Stegostoma tigrinum: one gene and its partner. Each later gene encodes a partner of the first gene's protein in a complex. Links are inferred from orthologs where the notes say so. Each region holds a gene or a part of one and is shown in the gene's direction. Other genes may lie near its edges.

Region 1 (7,909 bases):
AGGTGTGACTTTGTTAGTCAAGGGTGGTGTAACGGTGGCCGAAAGAACTTTTGATGAGGACTCATCTACTGAGGTGGTATGGGCTGAGGTCAGAAACAGGAGAGGAGAGGTAACACTGCTGGGATTTTTTTATAGGCCTCCGCAAAGTTCCAGGGATGTGGAGGAGAGGATCGGCAAAGCTATTCTGGGCAGGAGTGAAAGGAACAGGGTGGTCATTATGGGAGACTTTAACTTCCCTAACATTGACTGGAAATGCGATAACTCGAGTACTTCGGATGGATCAGTTTTTGTCCAATGTGTGCAGGAGGGTTTCCTGACACGGTATGTCGCAGGGCCGACAAGAGGGGAGGCCACATTGGATCTGGTGCTTGGTAATGAACCAGGCCAGGTGTTTGATTTAGTGGTAGGTGAGCACTTTGGAGAGAGTGACCATAATTCGGTTGTGTACTTTAGCAATGGAAAGGGATAGGAACATGCCACAGGGCAACAGTTATAGATAGGGGAAGGGCAATTATAATGCGATTAGGCAAGACTTAGGAGGCATAGAATGGGGTAGCAAAATGCAGGGAATGGGGAAAATCAAAATGTGGAGCTGGTTTAAGGAGCAGATATTGCGTGTCCTTGATGGGTATGTCCCTGTCAGGCAGGGAGGAAGTGATAAGGTAAGGAAGCCGAGATTTACTAAAGAAATTGTGTCTCTTGTTAAGCGGAAGAGGGAGGCTTATGTGACAATGAGACAAGATGGTTCAGATGAGGCAATGGCGAGTTACATATTAGCTAGGAAGGATTTAAAGAGACAGTTAAGTAGAGCAAGGAGGGGACATGAGCAGACATTAGCGAGTAGAATAAAGGAGAACCCTAAAGCTTTCTATAGGTATGTGAGGAATAAGAGGATGACTTGGGTAGCAATAGGGCCAGTCAAAGACAGAAGTGGGAAGTTGTGTGTGGACCCTGTGGAGATCGGAGAGGCGCTAAACGATATTTCTCATCTGTTTTCACTGAGGAACAGGAGAATATTGTAGAGGAGAAGACTGAGTTACGGGCTACTAGAATTGAAAGGATTGAGGTTAGTCAGGAGGAGGTGTTATCAATTCTAGAAGGTGTGAAGGTAGATAAATACCCTAGGCCCAATGGGATTTTTTCCGAGGATTCTTTGGGAAGCCAGGGAGGAGGTGGCGGAGCCTTTGGCTTTGTTCTTTGAGTCCTCATTGTCTACAGGTTTAGTACCAGAGGACTGGAGGATTGCAAATGTTGTGCCCTTGTTCAAGAAGGGCAGTAGGGATGACCCAGGTAATTATAGACCTGTGAGCCTTACGTCTGTTATAGGAAAAATTGTGGAAAGGATTATAAGAGCTAGGATTTATAATCATCTAGCAAGCAACAATTTGATTGGAGATTGTCAACATGGATTCGCCAAGGGCAGGTCGTGTCTCACAAACCTCCGTGACTTTTTTGAGACAGTGACCAAGCATGTGGATGAGGGAAGGGCAGTTGACGTGGTGTAAATGGAATTCAGTAAAGCCTTTGATAAGGTTCTACATGGTAGGCTATTGGAGAAAATACAGAGGCATGGGATTGAGGGAGAGTTAGCAGTGTGGATTAGAAACTGGTTTTCTATAAGAAGGCAACGAGTGGTGGTTGCTGGAAAATATTCAGCCTGGTGTCCGGTTACTAGTGGTGTGCCTCAAGGATCTGTTTTGGGACCACTGCTGTTTGTCATTTCTGTAAATGACTTGGACGCAGGCATATGTGGATGGGTTAGTAAGTTTGCAGATGACACTGAAGTCAGTGGAGTGGTGGACAGTGTGGAAGAATGTTTCAGATTGCAGGGAGACTTGGATAAACTGCAGAATTGGGCTGAAAGGTGGCAAATGGCATTCAATGCTGATAAATGTGAGGTGATTCACTTTGTGAAGAATAATAGGAAGGCAGAATACTGGGTCAATGGAAAGATTCTTGGTAGTGTGGATGTGCAGAGGGATCTTGATGTCCATGTACATAGATCCCTGAAAGTTGCCACCCAGGTTGATAGTGCTGTTAAGAAGGCTTACGGTGTTTTAGGTTTTATTGGTAGAGGGATTGAGTTCTGGAGCTGTGATGTCGTGCTGCAACTGTACACAGTGCTAGCGCGGCCTCACTTAGAAAATTGCGTACAGTTCGGGTTGCTCCATTACAGGAAGGATGTGGAAGCATTGGAAAAGGTGCAGAGGAGATTTACCTGGATGTTGCCTGGTTTGGAACGAAGGCCTTATGAAGAAAGGCTGAGGGACTTGGGTCTGTTCTCATTGAAGAGAAGGAGGCTAAGAGGGGATTTAATAGGGACATACAAGATGATCAGGGAATTAAATAGGATGGACATTGAGAGTCTTTTTCCAAGGATGATGACGTCAGCTTGTACAAGGGGGCATAGCTACAAATTGAGGGGTGATAGATTTAAGACAGATATCAGAGGCAGGTTCTTTACTCAGAGAGTGGTAAGGGTGTGGAACGCCCTGCCTGCCAATGTAGTGAACTCAGCCACATTAGGGGCATTTTAAACAGTCCTTAGATAAGCATATGGATGATGATGGAATTGTGTAGGGGGAGGTGCTTAGATTAGCTCACAGGTCGGCGCAACATCGAGGGCCGAAGGGCCTGTTCTGCACTGTATTGTTCTATGTTCTATGTCCCACACCCTCATTGCCGAAGTTGATGGCCTCACCAACATTGGTGGAGCTACATGAGTGGACACTTCCTTGCAGTTGGTGGCTTGTGATCTTGCACATTCAGCAATTGAATCATTGTGCTCAGACGCCAGATGCCGCGATGGAGCGAGAGACGTGGCAGAGGGCCCCAGACTTTCAACGTCTCCAACTGTAAAGGTGAGGCCAACAACGTAACCTCCTCACCTGCATCATAGAATCCCTACAGTGTGGAAACAGGCCCTTCAGCCCAACAAGCCCACACTGGCCCTCAGACCCATCCCTCATAACCCACATAACCTACACATCCCTGAACACTGTGGTAATTTAGCATGGCCAATCCACCCTAACCTGTACATCTTTGGACTGTGGGAGGAAACCGGAGCACCCAGAGGAAACACACAGACACGAGGAGAATGTGCAAACTCCACACAGACAGTCGCACGACGGTGGAATTGAACCCGGGTCCCTGGCGCTGTGAGGCAGCAGTGCTAACCACTGAGCCACCGTGTTAGCTCCTAAAGTTCGTTGAGGGGGCACCCAAATCTTTCAATGTCAATGGAAAATGGTTAAAGTCTGTCTTGTTTGAGATGGTCATTGCCTCACACTTCTATCATGCAAATATTACTGGCCACTTGTCAGCTCAAACCTGGATATTGTCCACATTTTTCTGTGCTTGCACATGGACTACTTCAGTATTTGAGAAGTGGCAAATGGCGCTGAACACTGTGCAATTATCGGCAAGCATTCCCATTTCTGACTGCATGATGCAGGGAATGTCATTGATGAAACAGCTGAAGATGGTTGGATAAACACAGCAGGCCAGGCAGCATCACAGGAGCAGGAAAGCTGACGTTTCAGGTCTGGACCCTTCTGTCACTTAAGATGGTTTGACCTAGAACACTTACCTGATGAACTGTTGCAGAGATGCCTGGAGCTAGTATGATTCATCTCCAACACACAACCACTTCCCATGTGCCAGGTTATGGCTCCAACCAGTGCAGAGTTTTCTACCTTGTGCATCTTAATGCTACATTCGGTCATGTCAAAGGTCATTATCGCAAAGTGCATGTGATGCCAATTAAAGACATTCAGAACTCAGAATAAGCAGAACGTTCGTAACATCAGCAAACTCGCCAAACAGCGTGGCAACAGAGATGGGTGTGAGTTTTCACTGCTGATAAATGTAAACCAATAGCACAGAAATATAGCATTCCTTTTTGAGGATGCAAGGGCTAAGTGAAAGAGAATTACTTGGTAGTGGGAGCTAATGGACCATGGTTGAATTTTGCTGAGTGTGGGAATTCTCTGTTAAGTCATGGATAAATTATGGGCCTGAAATTTAGCAGAACTTCAGTTGTTCCACCAAAGAACTGGAACAACTGAATGGGCTGAATAGGGTAGCACAGGAGTCACTTGCTGCCTCACGGTACCAGGGAGCGAGGGATGAGCCTGGTCCAGCATTCAAGGCAATCAAGACCCATAGTCTAACGCAGTGTCACATCATCGATTCTCCCCTTACATCTTGATTCTCCTTTGAATCCTAATATCTTTCTTGAATATATTCAGTAATCGCCTTGTTGGGAGTGGGTGGGGTGAGTGACAGTGAAAAGTGAGGGAAATGAACTGGGCTCCATTTAGGGGCTCTCAGCAACCCTAGCAGGTGGAGGGGAGGAGATTGGCTTCGCTGAGGTAAAAGAAGAGCACATCACCGAGTGCTGGTGCTGGTTAGGGCACGTTGTACTCGAAGATACAGATGATGGGGTGAACCCACTCTGTGTCTGGGCAACAGCAAGGATATTAGGCGCCTCTGTTCTCAAAGGTGATATGCCAGCATCAAAGATGGCGGACAAAAAGACGACCAACGGGAGTGCCAGCATCGATGGCGTTGACGGCACCAAAAATCAGCCAGCATCAAAGATGGTGATCACGATGTCAAGAAACCCGCCAATATTAAAGATGGCGCCCGCCGAGACCAAATCCGCCAGTGTCAAAGATGGCGGACGTGACCTCAACCACCGCCAATTCCTTGACCCCCTGTCAGCTTTCGAACAGCTTAAAAATAAACCAGTTAATTTTATATCGGAAGTACGCTTGCGCTGAACCTGTCATTTTAACTTGAATAGCCCCCGATGGGGAAAAAAGCGTACATACTTCCGGCGGACGCCAGGTGGTTTCCATGGAGACGGCCGCTCACTTCCGGCCCGGGCCCTCCCCGCCCCCACCGGCTGCCAGCAGCCCGGACTCTGACTCTGTCTCTGGATGAGGGCGGACCTGGAGCCGGTGGAGGCCGCTGCCTCTGGCCGCAGGGCCTCGGACAACCGGACCCGGTCCCGGTCCCGACCTCGGCCTGGCCGCTGGAAGAAGGTCCTGTACGAGAGGCAGCCTTTCCCCGATAACTTCGTCGACAGCAGCTTCCTGGAGGAACTGCGGAAAAATAGTGAGTGGGAGCGGGGTGGGGGAGGGGGAGGAGGGTGAGGGGGATCGGAGTGGGAAGGGGAGGGGGGGATCGGAGTGGGAAGGGGAGGGGGGGATCGGAGAGGGAAGGGGAGGGGGGGGTCGGAGTGGGAAGGGGAGGGGGGGGTCGGAGTGGGAAGGGGAGGGGGGGTCGGAGGGGGAAGGGGAGGGGGGGGTCGGAGGGGGAAGGGGAGGGGGGGTCGGAGGGGGAAGGGGAGGGGGGGGTCGGAGGGGGAAGGGGAGGGGGGGGTCGGAGGGGGAAGGGGAGGGGGGGGTCGGAGGGGGAAGGGGAGGGGGGGGTCGGAGGGGGAAGGGGAGGGGGGGGTCGGAGTGGGAAGGGGAGGGGGGGTCGGAGGGGGAAGGGGAGGGGGGGGTCGGAGGGGGAAGGGGAGGGGGGGGTCGGAGGGGGAAGGGGAGGGGGGGGTCGGAGGGGGAAGGGGAGGGGGGGGTCGGAGGGGGAAGGGGAGGGGGGGGTCGGGGGGGGAAGGGGAGGTGGGGGTCGGGGGGGGTCGGAGGGGGAAGGGGAGGGGGGGGTCGGAGGGGGAAGGGGAGGTGGGGGTCGGAGGGGGAAGGGGAGGGGGGGGTCGGAGGGGGAAGGGGAGGGGGGGGTCGGAGGGGGAAGGGGAGGGGGGGGTCGGAGGGGGAAGGGGGGGTCGGAGGGGGAAGGGGAGGGGGGGATCGGAGGGGGAAGGGGAGGGGGGGGTCGGAGGGGAGGGGGGGATCGGTGTGGGAAGTGGATGGGGCATCGGAGGGGGAAGGGGAGGGGGGGATCGGTGGGGGAAGTGGATGGGGCATCGGAGGGGGAAGTGGATGGGGCATCGGAGTGGGAGGGACGGGGGGATCTGAGGGGGAGGAGTATCGGAGGGGGAAGGGGAGGGGGGGGTCGGAGGGGGAAGGGGAGGGGGGGGTCGGAGGGGGAAGGGGAGGGGGGGGTCGGAGGGGGAAGGGGAGGGGGGGTCGGAGGGGGAAGGGGAGGGGGGTGTCGGAGGGGGAAGGGGAGGGGGGTGATCGGAGGGGGAAGGGGAGGGGGGTGTCGGAGAGGGAAGGGGAGGGGGGTGATCGGAGGGGGAAGGGGAGGGGGGGATCGGAGGGGGAAGGGGAGGGGGGGGATCGGTGTGGGAAGTGGATGGGGCATCGGAGGGGGAAGGGGAGGGGGGGATCGGTGGGGGAAGTGGATGGGGCATCGGAGGGGGAAGTGGATGGGGCATCGGAGTGGGAGGGACGGGGGGATCTGAGGGGGAGGAGTATCGTAGGGGAAGCGGAGGGAGGATTGGTGAGGGAGGGGGTAGGGTCGGAGGGGGAAGGGGAGGGGGGATCGGTGGGGGAAGGGGAGGGAGGGGATAGGATCAGAGGGGAAAGTGGAGGGGGCATCGGAGTGGGAGGGACAGGGGGGATCTGAGGGGGAGGGGGGGTTCGGAGGGGGAGGGGGGATCGGTGAGGGAGGGGGAGGGGGAGGGGGGATCGGTGAGGGAGGGGGAGGGGGAGGGGGGATCGGTGAGGGAGGGGGAGGGGGATCGGTGAGGGAGGTGTTAGGATCAGAGGGGGAAGTGGAGGGGGATCGGAGTGGGAGGGACAGGGGTGATCTGAGGAGGAGGGGGGTTCGGAGGGGGAGGGGTATCGGTGAGGGAGGGAGCGGGGGGTTTGGTGAGGGGGAAATGGAGGCGGGATCGGAGGGGGTAGGGGAGATCGGTTAGGGAGGGGGAGGGGGATCGGTGAGGGAGGGGGAAGGGGAGGGGGTTCGGTGAATGAGGGGGAAGGGGAGGGGAATCTAAGAATAATGATGACTATGAATCCATTGTCGATTGTCAGAAGAACCCATCTGGTTCACTAATGTCCTACAGGGAAGGAAACTGCCATCTTTACTTTGTCTGGCCTACATGTGACTTCAGATCCACAGCAATGTGGTTGGCTCATAACTGCCCCCTGGGTAATTAGGGATGGGAAATCAATGCTTCCTGGCCAGCAATACCCTCACCCCCATGAATGAATAAAGAAAAAAGAATAGAATGGGACTTCCAGTGACCATAATTCTATTCATTTTAGAATAGTGATGGAAATGGATAGACCACATAAGCGTTAAAGTTCTAAATTGGAGAAAGGCCAATTTTGACGGTATTAGGTAAGTGCAGATAATGATCAGCCTAGGAGGACGAATAGTTATCAATGATGGGTTGTTTGTAATAGTAGCCCATGTGATAACAAGGCCTCATGTCCAGGGCTTGTGGTAAGGACGGAGGAGAAGGTGCCTCAAGTCCTAAAATAGTTGAACTCAATATTGAGTCCAGAAGGCTGTAGAACAGAGTATAGGAGTTGACGTTATTTCGGGCTAAGTTAGATAGAGTTTAGATTCACAAGAGGTGAGGACTGGGAGGAAGGTGGAAAGGGTAGCATTGTGGACAGGAAAGTGGAGTTAGATCACAATCAGAGCAGCCCTGATCTTGTAGAACATAGAACATAACAGCGCAGTACAGGTCCATCGTCCCTCGATGTTGCACCGACCTGTGAAACCGATCAGAAGCCCATCTAACCTACAGTATTCCATTATAATCCATATGTTTATCCAATGACCATTTAAATGCCCTTAAAGTTGGCGAGTCTACTACGGTTGCAGGCTGGGCATTCCACGCCCTTACTACTCTGAGTAAAGAATGACTTAGGAAACTCAAAAGGGTGAATGTACTACTCTTGGCCCAAAGTCCCATGTTCCTATGATTTTGTCACCATAAGTTCTGTTTTCTGTTCTAGTTTATGTGCGCCAGTACCAGGTATGG
Region 2 (7,689 bases), on another chromosome or scaffold:
CCCTCCACCCACTGCATCCCAAAACCAGTCCAACCAGTCTCTGCCTCCCTAACCTGTTCTTCCTCTCACCCATCCCTTCCTCCCACCCCAAGCCGCACCTCCATCTCCTACTTACTAACCTCATCCCACCTCCTTGACCTGTCCGTCTTCCCTGGACTGACCTATCCCCTCCCTACCTCCCCACCTATACTCTCCTCCCCACCCATCTTCTTTTCTCTCCATCTTCAGTCCGCCTCCCCCTCTCTCCCTATTTATTCCAGAACCCTCACCCCATCCCCCTCTCTGATGAAGGGTCTAGGCCCGAAACGCCAGCTTTTGTACTCCTGAGATGCTGCTGGGCCTGCTGTGTTCATCCAGCCTCACATTTTATTATATTGGATTCTCCAGCATCTGCAGTTCCCATTATCACCTTTGAAATGGTGATGTGTTCAAATAGTCCTGACAGAATACCCATTGTAGGAATAGCAAGCAAATAGGTATGATAAACAAAAGTACAAAGGCAATGTAGGCAAATGACTCCTGTTTAAATTTTATCAGGGTGCATGTGAAATTATGTCTCCATCATATGTTCAAAATTATAATGTGTGAAACTGATCTGGTTGACAAAGAGTGTTTTCAGGATAGTGGAAAATGATAAACATTAAGTTTTCCATTATTATCCCACAGCCACTGCCTCCAATGCCCCATCACCACATCTGTATGTGCCCACAACCATACTTGCTCTCGGAATATGCCACTTGAAAGTCCACCTTTTGTGGTAGCTACTAATGACAGATGAATGGTACAGAAATTAACCTGGGTTTGAGATGTAGTGATAGCAAAATTGCTGGCTGGGTTTCTCTCTACCTGGGTAACTGCATAAGATTCAACACTGCATTATAAGATGGACAAACTTGTTGAGATGTGATTGCATGGGAGAGGATATGGAGGAGATTTACCAGGATATTGTTCAGGCTGGAGAGTTTCAGTTAGGAAGAGAGATGGGATAGACTGGGATTGTTTTCCATGGAGCCAAGGAGACTGAGGGGGTGGGGTAACATATTGAGATGTGTAAATTAATGAGGGGCATAGACAGAGAAAAGCTTCCCTCATTGATAGAGGGATCAATGACTGAGGGGATGATTTTAAGGTAATGGGCAATAGGTTTATAGAAGATGTGAGGAAACCTTTTCGCTCAGATGTTGGTGGAAATCTGGAATTCATTGCCCAAAAAAGGGTGGTAGAGGCAGAGATCCTCATAGCGTTTTAGACATATTTAGATGTATAGTTGTGATGACAAGGTGTACAAGGCTATGGGCCAAATGCTGGAAAAGGGGATTATAACAGTGTCTACATCAGTCAAAAACAACAATGAGCTGAAGGGCCTTTTCTGTGCTGTAGACCTCTATGACTCAATGGGAGGAGGAAAGTAAGAGAGGAAATTGCAGAGGGTCTGGTTACAACCTTGTTTACAATTAATCTTTGATACAGAATCTTTGTTCCACTTCAAGCTGTGTGCCATCCTGGCTTAGAATTCTATTGCAGTTCCTTTGTTTGTTGGGTCAAAATCTTGGAACTACCTCCTGTATGGCAATGTGGATGTAGTAACACACTAAGGATGCAATGTTTGAAGAAGGCAGCTCACCACTGCCACCACTTAGGCAATTGATGATGGGCAGTAAATGTAGGCCCAACTGGTGACACCAATATCCCATAAATAAATTGAAATAACTGAAAAGAAATTCAATGCGCTGCATAACTTAAGTGGCTTCTCAAATACTCTATGCAACTGCCTGAGATTAATTTCTAACCAAAAGAGCACAAAAACGAAGATGTTACCGCAAGCCTGTTTACAATAGGTTACCTGATAGCTAACTGTAGCCACTTCTGTGCATTAGGCCTTGGGAAGGATGGTGGGTCTTAGAAGACACAGTGAGGATTTACTGGAATGCTATTGGGATCAGTAGGTCAGTTATGCAAAACATCAAAGAGCCCTGGAGGAGTTGTTCTTACAGCAGATTGTTCAATATTAACAAAAGTTTAGAAACTGCAAATGATAACAAGGCTATAGATTTGTAAATGACAAAAGAATTAAAGGTAATATGTAGGTGGGGTGGGAGAGGAAATCATGCAGCAAAATTGTTGCCACCTGGATTTTTCAGTCTTAGTGGACGTTTAATGCATCATGCCCACGCCAATCATCAAACAACTAGCCTCATCCCATTTTCGAGCACTTAGCTCATAGCCATGCATGCTACATTTCAAGTGCTCATTTTGATACTTTTTAAATGTTCCGGCCTCCATCACCTTTTTTTAGCCAATTAGTTACACACAAGCACAATCCTCTGACCCTCAAATCTCCTCCTAGATGTCGTGCTTCTTACTACTTAATCAAACAAGAGCCCATGGTTTTGGAGATGGTGTATTAGCATGGATAGAAGATTGGCTAACTAATAAAGTATAGAGTTGGGATAAGGGGGGTCATTTTCAGGGTGGTAACCTGTATTGAGTGGAATACCACAGGAATCAGTGCTGAGGTCACAAGCTGTGAGGATGACTCAAAGAGTTTGCAGAGAGATATAGACAAGTTAAGTGAATGGGCAAAAACTTGCCAGACAGATGGAATATGTTGTTGCAAAATGTGAGGTTCTGCACTCTGGCAAGTGTATTCAAATAGAGAATGACTATAGAAAGTTACATCATAGAGAGATTTGGGGGCTTAAGTTTTAAAAAGCTAGCATCCAAGTTCAGCAGGGGATTGGGAAGGCAAATAGAATGTTGCCCTTTATTTCAAAGGAATGAGTGTAAAGCTAGTGAGGTCTTGCTAAAGCTCTACAAGGTACTAATTAGAATACAACTGGAATACTGTGAACAATTTTGATCCCTAACCTAAGGAAGATAAACTAGCATTGGAGACAGTGCAGAGAAGACTTAGAATGTTGATCCCAGATATGCAGGATTGTCTTTTGGGGCAGGTTGAGTTGGTTGGGCCAGTATACATTGGAAATTAGTAGAATGAGAGAAGATCTTATTGAACAGAATGTCTGGGACCAGAGGGCATAATTTCAGGATTAAGAAGTCACCCTTCTAAAACAGATGAAGAAGAATTTCTTACGAGGATAGTGAATTTGTGGAATTCTTTACCACGGACAACTATAGAGGTTGGGTCATTAACAATATTTAAGACTAAGATTTGTAATCAATAAAGGAATCACGTGATATGAGGAAAAGGCAGGAAACTGAAGTTGAGGATTATCAGATCAGCCATGATCTCATTTGAATAGTGGACCAGACTCTGTGGGCTGTTTGGTCTCCTTCTGTCTTTATGGCCTATGATCTTAAAACTATGGTCCTTGGTTAAGGGGAGACGTGTCTCTCTCACTCTCTTTCTCTTCCCTCTATCCTATTTATACTCCTCAATACTTTGAACAGCTAAATCAGGTCAGAAATCACATGACATTGGGTTATAGTCCAACAGGTTTATTTGAAAACACAAGCTTTCAGCGCCGTTCTGTACCTTCAGACCTAACCTTATCTACCTTCTGTCTTCAAGGATCTATGGACGTGCACACCAATATCTGTCTGATCCTCTGTCCATGGGCTCTTAGCTTCTTCTTAACCCATCTGCCATACCAAATTGCATAGATTGCAGGTTCAGTAAAAAAAAGCTTTTTAAAAAGGGAATTAGAGCTGAAATTGAAGTTGTAACTAAAACGGAAAGCTTTGCTGCACTATATAACAAGAGATAGGAGTGGGGAAAAATGGATAGTTCTTTCAAAAAGAGACACAGGGAAGATGGCGCTCATAGTTACCTTTTGTGTCATACAGGAGAGTGCTCTCAATCATTGGACAGAAACCAGAATTCCCTACTGACTCAGAGATAGTAGGAATTTCTGATGCTGGAGGCTGAGATAATAAGATGTGGAGCTGGAGAAATACAGCAGGCCAGGCAGCATCAGAGGAGCAGGAAAGCTGACGTTTCGAGTCTGGACCCTTCTCCAGAAATGCAGGAGGGGAGGGGACTCTAAAATAAATAGAGAGGGGGGGGCGGTGATAGAAGGTGGATAGTGGGGCAGATAGGTGGGAGAGAAGATGGACAAGTCAAGGATGTGGAATGAAGCTAGTAAAGGAGAGTGGAGGGAGGAAGTTGGGATGGGGGTTGGTCACTGAAGGGGGGGGCGGATACTTAGGAGGGAAGACTGACAGGTCAAGGAGACCGGGATGAGGAGGGGGCTGGTCTTGGGATGAGGTTGGGGTGGGGAGATTTTGAAGCTCGTAAAGTCCACATTGAGACCATTGGGTTATAGGGTCCTAAGGTGGAATATGAGGTGCTGTTCCTCCAGTTTCCGGGTGGCATCATTGTGACACTAGGAGAGGCCCAGGATGGATATGTTGTCCGGGAAGTGAAAGAGGGAGTTGAAGTGGTTCCGGACAGGGAGGTGTTGTTTGTCGCGAATCAAACGTAAGTGCTGAACAAAGTAGACTCCGAGCCTCTGCTTGGTTTCTCAGATGTAGGGGAGGCCACATCGGGAACAGTGGTTACAATAAATCATGTTAGCAGACGTGCTCGTGAAGATCTGTTTAATGTGGAAAGTTTTCTTGGGACCTGGGATGGACGTGATGAGGGAGGTGTAGGAGTGGGTGTAGTACTTCCTGTGGTTGCAGGGATTGGTGCCGGGGGTGGTGGGGTTAGCGGGGAGTGTGGAGCGGATGAGGGAGTCGCAGAGAGCGCAGTCCGTCTGGAAGGTAGATAAGGCTGGGGCGGGAAATATATCCTTGGTCGTGGGGTCAAATTGCAGGTGGTGGACGTGGTGGAGAATGATGCGTTGAATCCAGAGGTTAATGGGGCGATACATGAGGACAAGGGGAATTCTGTCTTAGTTTTTATCGCGGGGAGGGGGAGTGAAGGCTGAGGTGCGGGAAACGCAAGAGATGCGGTCGAGGGCTTTTTCAACCACTGGGGGGAAATTGTGGTCCTTGAAAAATGAGGATATCTGGGATGTCTCATTTTGGGGGCAGATGCAGTGTAGTTGGAGGAATTAGGAATAGGGGATCGCATTCTTGCAGGAAGATGGGTGAGAGGAGGTGTAGTCTAGGAAGCTGTGGGAGTCCAGTGTCACAATGATGCCACCCAGAAACAGAAGGAACAGCACCTCATATTCTGCCTTGGGACCCTACAACTCAATGGTCTCAATGTTGACTTTACTAGCTTCAAAATCTCACTACCCCCAACCTCATCCAAAGACCAGACCCCCTCATCCCCACCTCTTTGACCTGTCCATCTCCCATCTATCTGCTCCTCTATCCATCTTCTATCACCACTCCCCCTTATTTATTTCAGAGCCCTCTTGCCCTCCCCCATTTCTGAAGGGTCCAGACCCAACACATCAGCCTTCCTGCTCCTCTGATGTTGCTTGGCCTGCTGTGTTCCTCCAGCTCTACACCTTGTTATCCCCCACTGACTGACGATCAATTGGGCTGAAATCAATTCGCCTCCTACATCAGGGATCAAGCTGGGAATTTCTAAGTTTGATGGGTCACTGTCACAGTTTCACTTACACAAGGATTTCTGCAGTGCACCAGAGTTCGAAGTGATTATGTTGTTGTGCTGGACTGAGAGAGTGTGAATGTTAAACGGCCCGCTTTCGTTAGGGAGAGATCCCAGGGCCTTCGTTTAGTTTTAAACTCGAGAAGGTTCTACTGGACCTGGGCAACTCCTGCCAAATGACTGAGCATAGGAGGGCTCACGATTTTGGTTGATGCTTTTCTTTAATGTCTTTCTGAAGCCTCGCAACGTTTTTATCAGATTTAATACTGTCTCAAAAGCAATCATAATTGATGAGAATGGAAAAATTTGATCTTATACACCCCTGAATGGGATACGGAACTCACCGAATAATTTTATATTTATTCTGGCAGAAGCTTTACCCAAATACTTGGAATAAACTAATTATAGTTTCTGTAATTTAGTTTCGTTATTTAGTTAGTCTAGTTCGTTAATGTCAACAGTGATCAAAAGCCATGTTTCTAACAATTAGCAAGAAGGTGATACTTCGGTGAAAACGTTAGTGAGTTATACTGCCCCCGGCGGACTGTTCGTGTTCACTGTGCTACATTTACCTCTCTCGATGCTGACACACTGGAGATGTACAGCTGGACTCCGGACATACCTCCTCCCAGCGTTAAACAAGCCAACTGTTCTTCACTAAACCCCGACCTCACCAACTTCGGCTCTGCCCGTTACACAAGCTGCCTCACCGTCAGAATTTGCGAGGTTCTACCGAAGAGAATGTGCTTTAAGGACAGACTATATTGCCCATACATACGATTGTTTTTTTAAAAAAACTTACTTTTGGAAAACGGCTACCAATATCACAGATTGTTTGAATTGAGCACAACTTTATTTTTAAATCATTTTATGAAACACACCTAAAAGTCAAATGTGTGAATCGGAATAATATGGCAGTTGATAATTCTAAAAATTGCGCATTACGTATGGAATTTTACAGAGGCTGAGAGATGTAATTTGGATATCAAAAGTACACTTGGGGGGGAAGGAACACAGCGAATGAATACTCAATGAATGGCAGAAGAGCAGGAAGCTCAGGTAGACAGAAGGATCTTGGGATACTTGTCCACAGATCCCTGAAGTTGGCAGGGCATGTTAATGGGGTGGTTGAGAGAGCATACCAGACTCTTACCTTTACCAGTAGAGGCAACTATAGTAAGAGCAAGGAGGTCATGTTGGAGCAGTATAGAACTTTGGCTAGGTCACAGACTGAAGAACTGTGTGCACTTCTAATCACCAGGATAGGTAGGATATGACTGAGGGAGAATTTTAGCTTCCAAGAGAGACTGTTTTAAAGTGGAAAAAAAGAAGCTTTTTTTAAAAGTGAAAGGCACGAGATTTAGACGGGAATTGAGGAAAATAGTTTTAACCCGGAGAGTTGTGGGGCTCTGGAAGGCATTTCCTGGGAGGGTAGTTGAGACAGGAAACCTCAATCTTTAAAAATGCTTGGATAAGCATTTGAAGTGTCATAACATTTAAGGTTATGGGCCTTGCACAGGAAAGTGGGATTAGTGTAGATAATAGTGTTTATCTGACGGTACAGCCTTGATGGGCTGATGGGTCTCTTCTGCATGGTTTGATTCTGCACAGTTTCATGAATAGAGATGGTCCTCTGGCTCCTTGCCTTTCTGTCATAGTCATGTAACAAAGTGTGGAGCTGGATGAACACTGCAGGCCAAGCAGCATCTCAGGAGCACAAAAGCTGCTTGGCCTCCTGTGTTCATCCAGCTCCACACTTTGTTATCTTGGATTCTCCAGCATCTGCAGTTCCCATTATCACTGTCATAGTCATGTACCAGCTTTTGAAGCTGAAGTTTGAGGTTTTGCTCTGGATTTTGTGCATGTGATATTTAAATACCTCACAGATAGAGAACACCACAATCAGAGGGTGTCATTCTACAGTGAAGATATTATACTGAAGCACCAGCTGTCTGTTGTGTGCATGCAGAACGATCACCTGCTTCACCCCCCCCAAACAAAAACGGTTGCTTAATGAGCAAGATTTCTGGAGTCCTGACCAGCATTCTTTCTTCAACAACTTTGATTGAACCAGATAAACTAATCTTTTATCTCTTCACTCTTCAGGTCAGGAGCAAAATGGGCCTTTACAAATTGTCAATGAGTTTCATCTTCCATGAAAA

Evidence for each region.
Region 2: pigc (region 1) and pigp share a complex: the UniProt entries of both Homo sapiens proteins name them as parts of the glycosylphosphatidylinositol-N-acetylglucosaminyltransferase (GPI-GnT) complex. The link is inferred for Stegostoma tigrinum from reciprocal best matches to the Homo sapiens genes PIGC and PIGP.

Annotation. Positions count from the first base shown.
Region 1 is NC_081387.1:9,166,611-9,174,519, reverse strand, and holds the start of pigc (phosphatidylinositol N-acetylglucosaminyltransferase subunit C), read left to right. Parts: upstream 1-4,893; 5' UTR 4,894-4,943; coding exon 4,944-5,121; intron 5,122-7,883; coding exon 7,884-7,909. UniProt on the Homo sapiens protein: Part of the glycosylphosphatidylinositol-N-acetylglucosaminyltransferase (GPI-GnT) complex that catalyzes the transfer of N-acetylglucosamine from UDP-N-acetylglucosamine to phosphatidylinositol and participates in the first step of GPI biosynthesis.
Region 2 is NC_081365.1:19,225,258-19,232,946, forward strand, and holds the start of pigp (phosphatidylinositol N-acetylglucosaminyltransferase subunit P), read left to right. Parts: upstream 1-4,680; 5' UTR 4,681-4,725; intron 4,726-6,099; coding exon of another isoform or gene 6,100-6,147; intron 6,148-7,633; exon of another isoform or gene 7,634-7,689. Other genes in the region: SH3 domain-binding glutamic acid-rich-like protein 3, read right to left, coding at 6,100-6,147. UniProt on the Homo sapiens protein: Part of the glycosylphosphatidylinositol-N-acetylglucosaminyltransferase (GPI-GnT) complex that catalyzes the transfer of N-acetylglucosamine from UDP-N-acetylglucosamine to phosphatidylinositol and participates in the first step of GPI biosynthesis.